Ovis aries: one gene and its partners. The protein of the gene in region 1 binds, or shares a complex with, the protein of each later gene. Links are inferred from orthologs where the notes say so. Each region holds a gene or a part of one and is shown in the gene's direction. Other genes may lie near its edges. The genes, in order: MED16, MED24 and MED20.

Region 1 (3,644 bases):
CAGGTGGGGCCAGGGACTGGGCCAGGGTTCAGTATGAGAAAGCGAGGGGAGCTTGGTCGGGGCCATGCCTGGGTGAGGCCTATGGCAGCAGCAAGAGCTCACGTGGCTTGGTCAGCTCCACTCCCAAGCCAGGAGGGCCTCCTGGAATGATGCTGTGGGAAATGACCTTTCTTTCTATCCCTTCCCTGTGTCTGCCTCCTGTCCCTTCTCCCCTAGGGAGTGACTCATTGCAAGGCTTACTGCCTAACCATCTGGACCGTTTTTTCTGTGGGAGGTTTCTTTTTCAGACTTTCAGCATCTCCCCTTGGGGCTCACTTAGGGGCTTTTGCTTCTTTCTTTTAACACTGCTTTCACCTACACGTCCAGGAAACTCAGCTGGGGCTGTAGTCAGCCCTGCCCTTCATGGATATTTAGTCCCATGAGCCTGGGGGTGCCTGGGTGAGCCTAGTGAGTCTGCTCCTCATCCCCAGACAGAGGGGCAAAGAGTCTCCCACTACTCAGAGGAACTCTGTGCAGTCTCCAGCTCATGCTGTTTCAGTGACAGATGCTTTGTGCTGATGGAAAGGAGTCAGGCTTGCAGGCCTCCCTAGGGTCTGCCTCCGGGGATGCTGGGAAAGGCAAAGCTGGGGCAGAGGCCAGTGCGGCAGTGGCTGGGGGCCCAGGGGCAAAAAGATGAAAGAGCAGTGGCAGCTGTGCTTCCCAGCACTGCCTGCAGGGGGCATATCTGAGTCCTACAGCCACTTACCTAGTGCCCAGCTTGCTCTGTGCAGTGGCTCAGGCCGTGCTCCCACACTACCCACGCAAGGAGCCTGGAGTGGCTGAACTGAGCACCTGAGAACACTGGATGTCTGTCTGGCCCTAAAGAAAACACGGCTGACTGCTGTCCCTTGTGTGTCTAGCTGTGACCTTATCATGTTCTTGGACATACAGACAAGGACACTGAGGGTCAGAGAGGCCTGTGTCACCCAGCGCTCAGTGGCTGAAGCCGAATCTGACTTCAGGCTTGGTCTCTTGAGGCTTCTGCTATCTGGTTCCTCTGTGTTCCTGAGGGTGCGGTTCCCAGGAGGGGTCCTCGGGCCACGAAGGTAGACCCCTAAAGGCCGAACATGAACTGGGCGCCCCCCCACCCCCTGCAGCTGACCCCTCCCCTCCCTTACAGTCTGGTGCCTCCAGCTTCGGGGAAAAGTTCTCCCGAGTCAAGTTCTCACCATCGCTCACACTGTTCGGGGGCAAGCCCATGGAGGGCTGGATCGCTGTCACAGTCAGCGGCCTGGTCACTGTGTCCCTGCTCAAGCCCAGCGGGCAGGTGCTCACCTCGACTGAGAGCCTGTGCCGGCTGCGCGGCCGTGTGGCTCTGGCCGACATCGCCTTCACAGGTGGCGGCAACATCGTGGTGGCCACAGCAGATGGCAGCAGCGCATCACCGGTGCAGCTGTACAAGGTGTGCGTGAGCGTGGTCAATGAGAAGTGCCGCATCGACACCGAGCTCCTGCCCTCACTCTTCATGCGCTGCACCACCGACCTCAGCCGCCGCGACCGGCTGCCTGCCATCACCCACCTCAAGTTCTTGGCCCGCGACATGTCGGAGCAAGTGAGCCCGCCCCACCACCTCGAGGCTAAACCCACGCCTGGGCGGGGTTGCTCCCTCCAGGGGCTCCTGCCTTTTCCAGCTTCTAGAGGCACCAGCATCTCTGGCTCGTGGCCCCTCCCTCCATCTTCACAGCCAACAGTGCAAATCTCCTGTCTCTCTGCCTCTGACCCTCCACCTCCCTCTTATAAGGACCCTGTGATGACACTGGGCCCCCTGGGGAATCCAGGGTCATCCCTATCTCAGGGGCCTTAGCTTAATCCCTCCTGCCAAGTCCCCTCTGCTCCATAAGGTGATGTATCCACAGGTCCCAGGACCAGGACAGGGGAGTCTCTGGAGGCAAAGTTGAGCTACCTGCACCAGGTTCCCTGAGGTCCCTTGTAGCCTTGTGCTGACCAGCCCTAGCTTCACCAGTCCCTGATGTGTTTCCCTAGTACCTTTGCTTCCTGCTGGGGCACCATGGATGACCACCCCAGCACAGCACAGCACTCCCCATGGGAGTGAGGCCAGTGGGTGGGCAGATGCAGACGCAGGCCAGGCAGGCCTGGGTTGTACCCACAGTGGCATGTGAGCCCTAAGACGAGCCAGAACCCCACAGAGGCCATGGGCTATTCTAGGCCCCTCACCACGCACTCACCCCTAGGTACTGCTGTGTGCATCCAGCCAGACGAGCAGTGTGGTGGAGTGTTGGTCGCTGCGCAAGGAGGGGCTTCCTGTGAACAATATCTTCCAGCAGCTCTCTCCGGCTGGTGAGTCGCTCAGGTGGCCAGGCACACTCAGACTACCCTGGGTGCAGCGAGGCGGCGTGGTGGCAGCCTGAGTTTGCTAGAACATGCCCACCTCTCCCTCCCTCTCTGACCTTGAACCCATGCGGAGCCCCATGTCTCCGCCAGAGGGGCCCGCTTGCTGATACCCGTGTGGCTAAGATGCCAGGGGTGAACTGTGGCCACACAGCCCAGGGGCATTCCCCCTGCAGTAGTGCTCCTGGCCCTGGAGTGACTGGCCTGAGTTAAGAGGCCCCTGAGGTCCATCTGCCCTCAGGTGGGTTACATACGCTGCTCAACACAGCCCCAGAGGAGTTGTGTGAGGGTGGTCGGGCTGCACCTCCTGAGTGGGGTCCTGGCCCTTCCCAGTCCCAGGCTGGCCCAGCTCCCCACCTGCCCTACAGTCCCAAGGTCCCTGGGACCTTGTTATAGTAGGACCAGACTTCATGCAGAAGGGCCTCCCGTCCTGGTGGAGCCTCTTCCCAAGGCAGGCATCCAGGTGCTGAAGGGTCTCTGCTGAGTTCACCTGCGGCCCCCCACCCCTGCCCCTTGTCCCAGCCTCGTGGCCCTGTGGGCTCTCAGACCTGCCTCTCCTGCCCCTTCCTCCTCACGTTTGCCCACACTGGTCTCCCTCGGGCCCCACTCTACCAGCTATTGTCCAGCCTACAGTAGAGGGGGTGGCCTGACTTGGGTGGACAGTGGGTCCAGGTAGACTCAGGCAAGCTGTTCAGCCTCTGACAGCGGCCACTCTCCTATGTGACCTAGAAACGGCCAAGCCTGTCAGGAAGCCAGTGTGGGTGGCTGGTGCCGGCCTGGCCTGAACGTGCTCCCTCTCTGGGTATCGCCTTGGCTGTCACCATGGCAGCTCTGCTCAGTGCTGCCTCTCTCTGGGCCTCCGTCTCCTTGTGGGATGATGTTTTCCAGGAGACCCCTCTTGCTGAGACGTCTGGGGAAGAGCTCTCAGGACAGGTGGGCGCAGAGGCGTGTTATCACAGCCAGCCTCAAACTCTGTTTCAGAAACACAGCTGGACACTCCTGGGTTGGACCACCTCACTGCTCCAGCCTGCTTCCCTAAGTCTGCCGGCCCCCCAAGGCAGCTGGAGTGCTGGCAGCTGGAGTGCTGGCCACTGGCTGGGGGCCTGGGCTTGTCTCGGAGTCACCTTGGTGTCTGGGCACCTCTGCCCATAGCACGCGGGGACCAAGCCCAGATGGATGGGAACCACCCTGCCTCTTGCTGGTGGGCTCCGTTGTGGCACTGAGGTTGTGGGTGCCAGGAGGGGCCTGTCTGTCCA
Region 2 (3,644 bases), on another chromosome or scaffold:
CTCTGCTCAACAACTCCTCGGAGATAAAGCTCGTGTCAGTGGCTGGGCGCCTGCCCCCGGGGTGGTGGTGGGGGCAGGCTTGGGCCCTCTCCCTCAGCCCCGCCCACGCCCGCCCACCCCTGTGGTGATGTTTTCTCCCACCCCCATCCCCATGTAGGCAGATGAAGTGGCACGAAGCCTGTCTCAACATTTCAGCGGCCATCCTGGAAATCCTCAACGCCTGGGAGAATGGGGTGCTAGCCTTCGAGTCCATCCAGGTAGCTCCTCTTTTCCGCAGCCTTCCCTCTTCCCTAAGGCACAGCCAGTCTTTGATAGTTTGCTACATTTCATAAAAACAAAACGACCCTTCCTCCAGAAGCCCGTGTGTGGGCATTGGCCTCCCCTGTAGTCATAGTCTAAGCTACCCTCTCTCACCAGGTGACTTTGGGGAAATCAGACTTGTGGTGAAAAGAGGCTTGGACGTGGCCCCAGACCCCACTGCTCTGCTGAGTTGCTCACGGAGGCCGGGGAAAGTGATGGCCAGGGAGGGCGCGAGAGGCCCCAGTCACTCTTTTTCCCTCGCCCAGAAAATCACAGATAATATCAAGGGGAAGGTGTGCAGCCTGGCAGTGTGCGCTGTGGCCTGGCTCGTGGCGCACGTGCGGATGCTGGGACTGGACGAGCGAGAGAAGTCGCTGCAGATGATCCGCCAGCTGGCAGGGCCGCTGTACAGCGAGAACACGCTGCAGTTCTACAACGAGAGGTCGGTCCCTTCTTGAACTCTGCAGGTCTGTGGTGAGAAGTCAGCCCCTCCAGTAACCACTCTTCCTCCTCCTCTCTCTCCCTCTTTGGAAAAATCAGTCATTTATTTATGTAGCGTACAATGAATAAATGGGGTCTTCACTGCGGTGCGCAGGCTTTCTCTAGCGGCGGCGGGCAGGCGCCACTCTCTGGTTGTGGCGTGTGGGTTTCTCACTGCGGTGGCTTCTTGTGTGGCGGCACACACGGACTTGGTCGCTCAAGACACGTGGAATCTTCCCACACTAGGGGTCAAACCCGTGTCCCCTGTACTGGCAGGTGGGTTCTTAACCACTGCACCACCAGGGAAGTTACCCCTCTTCTCATACCTCCCCAGACATGCCACTTGCCTGCTCACTCACATTCTCAATCACATCTTCACTCACTGACTCAGCAGTGCTTGTATGTGTCTTCTTGCCGGCCGTGTTTATAATCCAGCATCTGCTGTGTGTGTGCCAAACTCCAGACCCCAAACGGCCAGGATTCCTGCCCTCGGAGAGCTTGAGTCCCAGGTGCTTGCTGGTGGGAACAGTCTTATCTCAGCTCTGTCCCTCTCTAGGAGCTGTAGAGCCCCTCTATAGTGTTTACAGGCTGTGGGCCTGTCCACCCCCTCCCTACCCTGCCCCCACCCCCTCTTCTGTGACTTTTTCTTCCCTGGACTTTTCAGAGACTTGGAAGACCTCCTTAGCAACTTCAGCTATGTTGAGTCAGGGGGTGTGGGTTTGTTTACCCATCCAGTAAGCTTTTTTAAAACATTGTGGTAAAAAAATACATGATCTAAAATTTACCACCTTAACCATTTTTAAGATAACAGCTCATTTTTATTTTTTTCTGACTCTGCTGAGCCTTTGTTGCTGCACGTGGGCTTTCTCTAGTTGTGGTGAGCTGGGACTACTCTTCATTGCAGTACACGGGCTTCTCATCGTGGTGGCCGATCGTGGTGGCCGCTCGTTGTGGCGTGTGGGCTGTATAGGGCGCTTGGGCTCAGCAGTTGTGACTCTCAGGCCCTAGAGTCTGGAGGCTTCAGTAGCTGTGGCACACAGGCTTTTTTACTCTGAGACATGTGGAATCTCCCCAGCCCAGGGATCGAACCTGTGTCCCCTATACTGGTGCGTGGATTCTCCACTGTACCACCAGGTCCAGCGGTAGGGTTCAGTAGTGTGTTAAGTATATTCACATTGTTGTGAAACATCTCTAGAATGTTTCCATCTTGTAGCTCTGAACCTGGACCAACAACACCCCTTCCTGTCTTTACCCCAGCCCCTGGACCCATTAAACACCACCCCTTTCTGTCCTTCCCCAAGCACCTGGCAACCGCCACCCTAGCTTCTGTTTCTGTGAATTTACTATATAAGTGAAATCATATCACGTTCATCTTTTGGTGGCGGGCATGTCTCACTTTGTGTAATGTTCCTCAGAGTTCAACCACACCGTTGCATGTGTCAGGACTTCTTGCTTTTTAAAGGCTGGATTATATTCCATTGTATGTATATGTTGTATTTTGCTTATCTGTTCCTCAGCTGATGGACACATGGGTTTCTTGCACTTCTTGGCTGTTGTGACTAGTGTTGCTATGAATGTGGGCTTGCACCAAACATTAAGTTATGAGTGATGACCCGCAAGGTAGCCATCAAAATGTCTTTTAAGGGAAAAAATGGAAACACAGCTGATATGAGATCGGGAGGGTCTTTTTCCCCTGCCTCCTTCTCTGTTCCTCCCCTCCTTCCTCATCCTCCTCCCACAAATCAGGGACTATTTTCTTTGATATAATTGATTGTGAGCACCCTAACTGCTGTCTGGGAAATCTATGGCTCCATCCTGCAGGTGGGAAAAGTGGCTATGAAAGTCGTGGTGACTTTCCCAGAGCCATGCAGTGTTCCCTGAACGGTTAGCTCTCAGGCCCAGACCTGCATTCACCATCAGAGACTCCTGTCATGAGGAAATTCCTGGATGTACTTACATTTGCCCAGCTACCAAGGGCCGGGAAGAGTCTTGTGGGGCAGCCCTTGGGCCCCTGTCCTGGAAGTAACAGTTTACTTTGGGAGGAAGCCAAGGCCGGGTGGGGAACCCCCCTCGAGCACAGCCTAGAGGGAAGTGATTGTATTTATCAATATTGACGCCAGAGGATTGGCAGGCCCGGGCTTGGAGGGTGGGGAAGTTGGAGGGAGAGACTGAGAGAGGAAAAAAAAGTATGAATATATTGCTGAAATGACCCGAGAGGCAAGTGCCCACCAACCCCCTGTAGGCTCGGTGCTGGCACAGGGCTGGTGGGGTCACATCTGCTCAGGGTTTGCAACTTCCTCTTGTCCCCTCCCTCCCTCAGCACAGAATGAGGCTGATTTCCCGGTTCCTGGTTCCGTAACCCTAATCCTGGGAGGAGTGGGGCCTGGGTGTTTCCGCCCCGACTCCCACCCCCTCTGTTGAACCTGTACCACTGGCCCTCCCCCGCCCCCCCCCAGGGTGGTGATCATGAGCTCCATCCTGGAGCACATGTGTGCGGACGTGCTGCAGCAGACCGCCACGCAGATTAAGTTTCCCTCCACGGGCATGGACACCATGCCCTACTGGAACCTGCTGCCCCCCAAGCGGCCCATCAAGGAGGTGCTGACGGACATATTTGCTAAGGTGCTGGAGAAGGGATGGGTGGACAGCCGCTCCATCCACATCTTCGACACCCTGCTGCACATGGGTGGTGTCTACTGGTTCTGCAACAACCTGATTAAGGTACGGGAGTGCTGGGGGTGGGCTGTGGGAGCAGGCATCCTCAGACTGCCAGAGACAGGCCTGATGAGACTGAGCTAGGTCTGGCTGGCTGGCTCCCCAACCCTCAGCCTGGCGAATCCCAGCTCAAGAAGGTTCCTTGGGCT
Region 3 (3,644 bases), on another chromosome or scaffold:
CATGCTGCCTGGCTGCTGGTCTTCTCTGGAAAAGGCTGTTGGTGAGGGCCTTGCCTCCGCCGCCCTCCAGGACTGCTGGGGCGATGCTGGATTGCCTCCTGGCCCCATTCAGCACTTTGGCCTCTACTCTGGGATGTGCTGAGGAAGGTCTTGTCGCTGAGCAGGATCTCCGTCCCTTGCAGGTCAGGCCGGGAAGCTGATGTATGTGATGCACAATTCTGAGTACCCTTTGAGCTGCTTCGCCCTCTTTGAGAACGGCCCTTGCCTTGTTGCCGACACCAACTTTGACGTGCTCATGGTGAAACTCAAGGGCTTTTTCCAGAGTGCCAAGGCCAGCAAGATCGAGACCCGGGGCACCCGTTACCAGTACTGTGACTTCCTAGTGAAGGTGGGCACGGTCACAATGGGGCCTAGTGCCCGAGGCATCTCTGTGGAGGTAAGACCTAGGTGAACTAGAGCAGATGTGGTGAAGGGCGTGGCTCTGCAGGTTCCCGCAGGCAGATGTGTCTGCCTCCCTGATTTCTGTCTGCAGAGCAGCTACACCTCCTTGCCCTGCATTTTTTATCCTTTCTTTAATCACTGAGGGACGCTCTAGCCCAGAATGGGAATGGGGAGCTGGATTCGCAGCAGGTAGAAAGCTTAGGAAGGCTGGCTTAGGAAGAAGAGGAGGGATGGTCAAGGAGGGGCAGGTGAACTGTTACACGGAGGGACCAATCAAAGTTTTGAAGCAAAGATGTGCCCTTCCCTTTGACATGCTGTCCACTTTCTTTCGTGGTATGTGTGACGATTTCATCTATGACGTATATTGAAAATGACAAAGATGGAGTGTGACAGTAGCTGGCTTTGGGACCACTGAGAGTCTGTACAATCTAACACAGTCCCAGCACTGTGTGAGATTAAAAAAAAAAGAATAAGTAAACTGCAGGGCCTTCCTTTTGAACGTTTATGACTTAATAAGAGAGCCAGGCCTAAACATGCAAGCTGTTTTTGAAGTTAGTCTGTAAGAAATGCCATAAAGGAAGCACAGATTGCTCTGGGAGTTCGGGGCAGAGAGCACCGCTGACTTTGGGGACTGTGATACCTCTTGCAGGATTAGCATTTAAGGAGGGAATTGAAATGTGGAGACCTGGGGATAGGTAAGTCCTCAAAAGCAGGACAGGTGGAGAAAAGGGCGTTAGTGGTCATGACTACTGTGACACTCCAGAGACCTCTAGAGCTAAGATGTCCTGACTCTTTTCATTCATAACACACAGAGAATTTGCCAAGACCCACGGGGAACTCACTGTTTGTTTATCCTCCACGTTTTCAACTTTGCAACACAAACACACCTGGCAGTTTCTTTACTTATTTCTCCTTGTACTTGCCAGTAATTTGCCCTGCCATCTCTCCAGTGAAAAACTAGGAGAGGAGAATGAGCAAGCGTAAGATCTGTATCCTTCAGCCCCTGTCACATGAGTTGGGAAATCATTTCTTAAGGTCAGAGCCCAGGTTATATCTACCTTGGGAATAATGGTTGCTCTTGAAGTGACTTACGGGCCTGAATGTCTTTTTGCCCTCTTGTCAATTCCCCCAACTTATACACCCCGCAGACTTTTTCTCCTGCTCTTCATTTTTTCTCATAGAATTTTCCCAAGCTGTCCATGAATCTACACGCATCATAGCTGGGACTATAAAATTCAGAAATAATTTGAAGGGACCAAGCTGTGCCTCTGGGTCTTGTGCACAGGCCTGTGAGTTGATAATCTCAAGATGAGAATGTTTGAGCTTAAACGGTACAGTGCTGAGGGTTTCAAATTCCTGGTGTTTGAGCTGGATATTTCCTGCGGGGCAACTCTGGGTTGGAAGGTTTGTGTCCTGGTCTCCGGGTTGGGGAAGATGGATGCAGAGGGCAAATGACCTGTCCTTGCTCTCACTCACCCTCCATCTCCCTTCTCTTGGTCCCCAGGTGGAGTATGGCCCCTGTGTGGTAGCTAGCGACTGCTGGAGCTTGTTGTTGGAGTTCCTGCAGAGCTTTCTAGGCAGCCACACCCCAGGGGCACCCGCAGTGTTTGGGAACAGACATGACGCTGTCTACAGCCCAGCAGACACCATGGTCCAGTACATGGAACTCTTCAACAAGATCCGCAAGCAGCAGCAGGTGCCGGTGGCGGGGATTCGTTAGCAACTGGCAGCTGCTGGGCTGAACTGTGTCACCGGCCGAGGGAGTCGGGGGGGCACTCCACAGAAGGAGCAGGCACCGCACCCTCAGGCCTCTGGACCCCGGAAATCCTGGGCAGACAGGAGGGTGTCCCTCCCTGTCTAGTTCCCAGCTGTGGCTTTTGTTCTGGGGTGCTGGACTCCCCTCCACTGAGCTTCACACACAGTCCCTCCTGTGCCTGCCCCGCCACAGTTGTTTCAGCCCCCGCCTTGCTGGGCTTGGCCTGTCCTCAGGAAAGTGATTACCCAGAGCAGAGACGTCTGGAGCTCTCCTGCTTTAGGGGAAAAGGTCAGATGGGGGTGTCCTTGCTGAGTGTCGGTGGAAAGGCAGTCTGTGTTACCAGTTCCTGAGGATTTGGTCCAGCCACACAGTGGACAGGCTATGTGTTGCATTGGGGCTTCACTCAGAGGATGTGGCTGGGCCTTTCCTGGGAAAGAAGCAGGAGGCCAAGCTTATTTGGTGGCTGTCGTTTTCTGACCTGTTTGCTGAGGTAAATCGTGAGATCAGTTTTCTAGGGTGTTGCCTGAGTCCTTTGAAGTCTCCCCTCTGGCCATCTTTCCATTCGGTAGTGAATGATATTAAAGCACAGGCTGAGTGGCTATAAGAAGAAGCTAAAGTACAGAGGCTCATAGTTTATTTTTCTCTTCTCTAATAGTACAGAGGTAATCAGATAGCCCAGGGCAGGCTTAACTCCACAAGGTTGTCAGGAACTTGGTTTCCTTTGAGCTTGTTGTCCAGCCACCCCTGGGGTGTTGTCCTTGGGCAACTCAGAGCATCATCAACTACATGTCCAGTTCCCCTGGGGTAAGAGAGAGAGAACAGTTTTCTTTTCTAAAGGCCATGCCCTGGAGTTGCTCCAGTCACTCTGGCTACACCTGCCTGAGAGGAGCTCTGGGATAGAGAGCCTCTTATTTGGGTGGTCATGTGCCCAGTTAAAATGCCAGGGGTTCTGTGACCAAAAGGTGAAGGAGAAAATGGATGTGGGGGCCTAGTTAATAGCCTCTGCCCCAGGGAGCTCAATGGACCTGCCCAAGACTATTCTTGCTATTTTGCAAAGAGCACCCCTGTAAGCTATTTGTTTCTGAGTTGGATTGGGATGGGGCTGATATCAGAGCCACTTTAGCTGGATTATTCACATGGGGACGTCACTTCTGCACCCCTTGAGTCAGTCTCTGCATCAAGACCTCTCCAGTTCTCGAGTGCCCAGAGCTCGGGGTTAAACAGTTGACCTGAGGCCCACACTGCGCTTCAGGGTGTCCTGAACTCTTAACTCCTCATCTCATGGGAGCCTCCAAGCTGCTCATTTGACCTCCATCGCCTGCCCCTGCCCTCCTGCTTCAGAGATGCTCAGTCCAGCTAACCCTGAGGTCACAGTCAGAGCTGGTCTTAAGAAGCAAGTTCATGTATGTACTGTGGGTTGTCCTAGGATCTGTCTCTCATCGAAAAC

Evidence for each region.
Region 2: the proteins of MED16 (region 1) and MED24 are in contact, whole or in part, in a cryo-EM structure (PDB 7EMF), measured with the Homo sapiens proteins. The link is inferred for Ovis aries from reciprocal best matches to the Homo sapiens genes MED16 and MED24. Residues at the interface, in NP_005472.2 of Homo sapiens: His29, Cys30, Pro31, Ser32, Arg52, Asp54, Asp55, Gln56, Glu82, Asp102, Val126, Glu127, Gly128, Asp129, Pro130, Val184, Ser185, Leu187, Thr203, Glu204, Ser205, Cys207, Arg208, Leu209, Arg210, Gly211, Arg212, Asp232, Gly233, Ser234; in NP_055630.2 of Homo sapiens: Ile539, Leu540, Asn541, His544, Pro545, Glu593, Arg629, Met630, Leu631, Gly632, Leu633, Asp634, Glu635, Asp676, Gln679, Gln680, Thr681, Ala682, Pro702, Pro703, Lys704, Arg705, Pro706, Ile707, Lys708, Glu709, His737, Met738, Gly739, Gly740.
Region 3: MED16 (region 1) and MED20 share a complex: the UniProt entries of both Homo sapiens proteins name them as parts of the mediator complex. The link is inferred for Ovis aries from reciprocal best matches to the Homo sapiens genes MED16 and MED20.

What each region holds. Positions count from the first base shown.
Region 1 is NC_056058.1:41,105,886-41,109,529, reverse strand, and holds part of MED16 (mediator of RNA polymerase II transcription subunit 16), read left to right. Parts: intron 1-1,159; coding exon 1,160-1,591; intron 1,592-2,231; coding exon 2,232-2,337; intron 2,338-3,644. UniProt on the Homo sapiens protein: Component of the Mediator complex, a coactivator involved in the regulated transcription of nearly all RNA polymerase II-dependent genes.
Region 2 is NC_056064.1:40,087,927-40,091,570, reverse strand, and holds part of MED24 (mediator of RNA polymerase II transcription subunit 24), read left to right. Parts: coding exon 1-34; intron 35-157; coding exon 158-257; intron 258-566; coding exon 567-742; intron 743-3,236; coding exon 3,237-3,501; intron 3,502-3,644. UniProt on the Homo sapiens protein: Component of the Mediator complex, a coactivator involved in the regulated transcription of nearly all RNA polymerase II-dependent genes.
Region 3 is NC_056073.1:15,712,327-15,715,970, reverse strand, and holds part of MED20 (mediator of RNA polymerase II transcription subunit 20), read left to right. Parts: intron 1-182; coding exon 183-436; intron 437-1,945; coding exon 1,946-2,161; 3' UTR 2,162-3,644. UniProt on the Homo sapiens protein: Component of the Mediator complex, a coactivator involved in the regulated transcription of nearly all RNA polymerase II-dependent genes.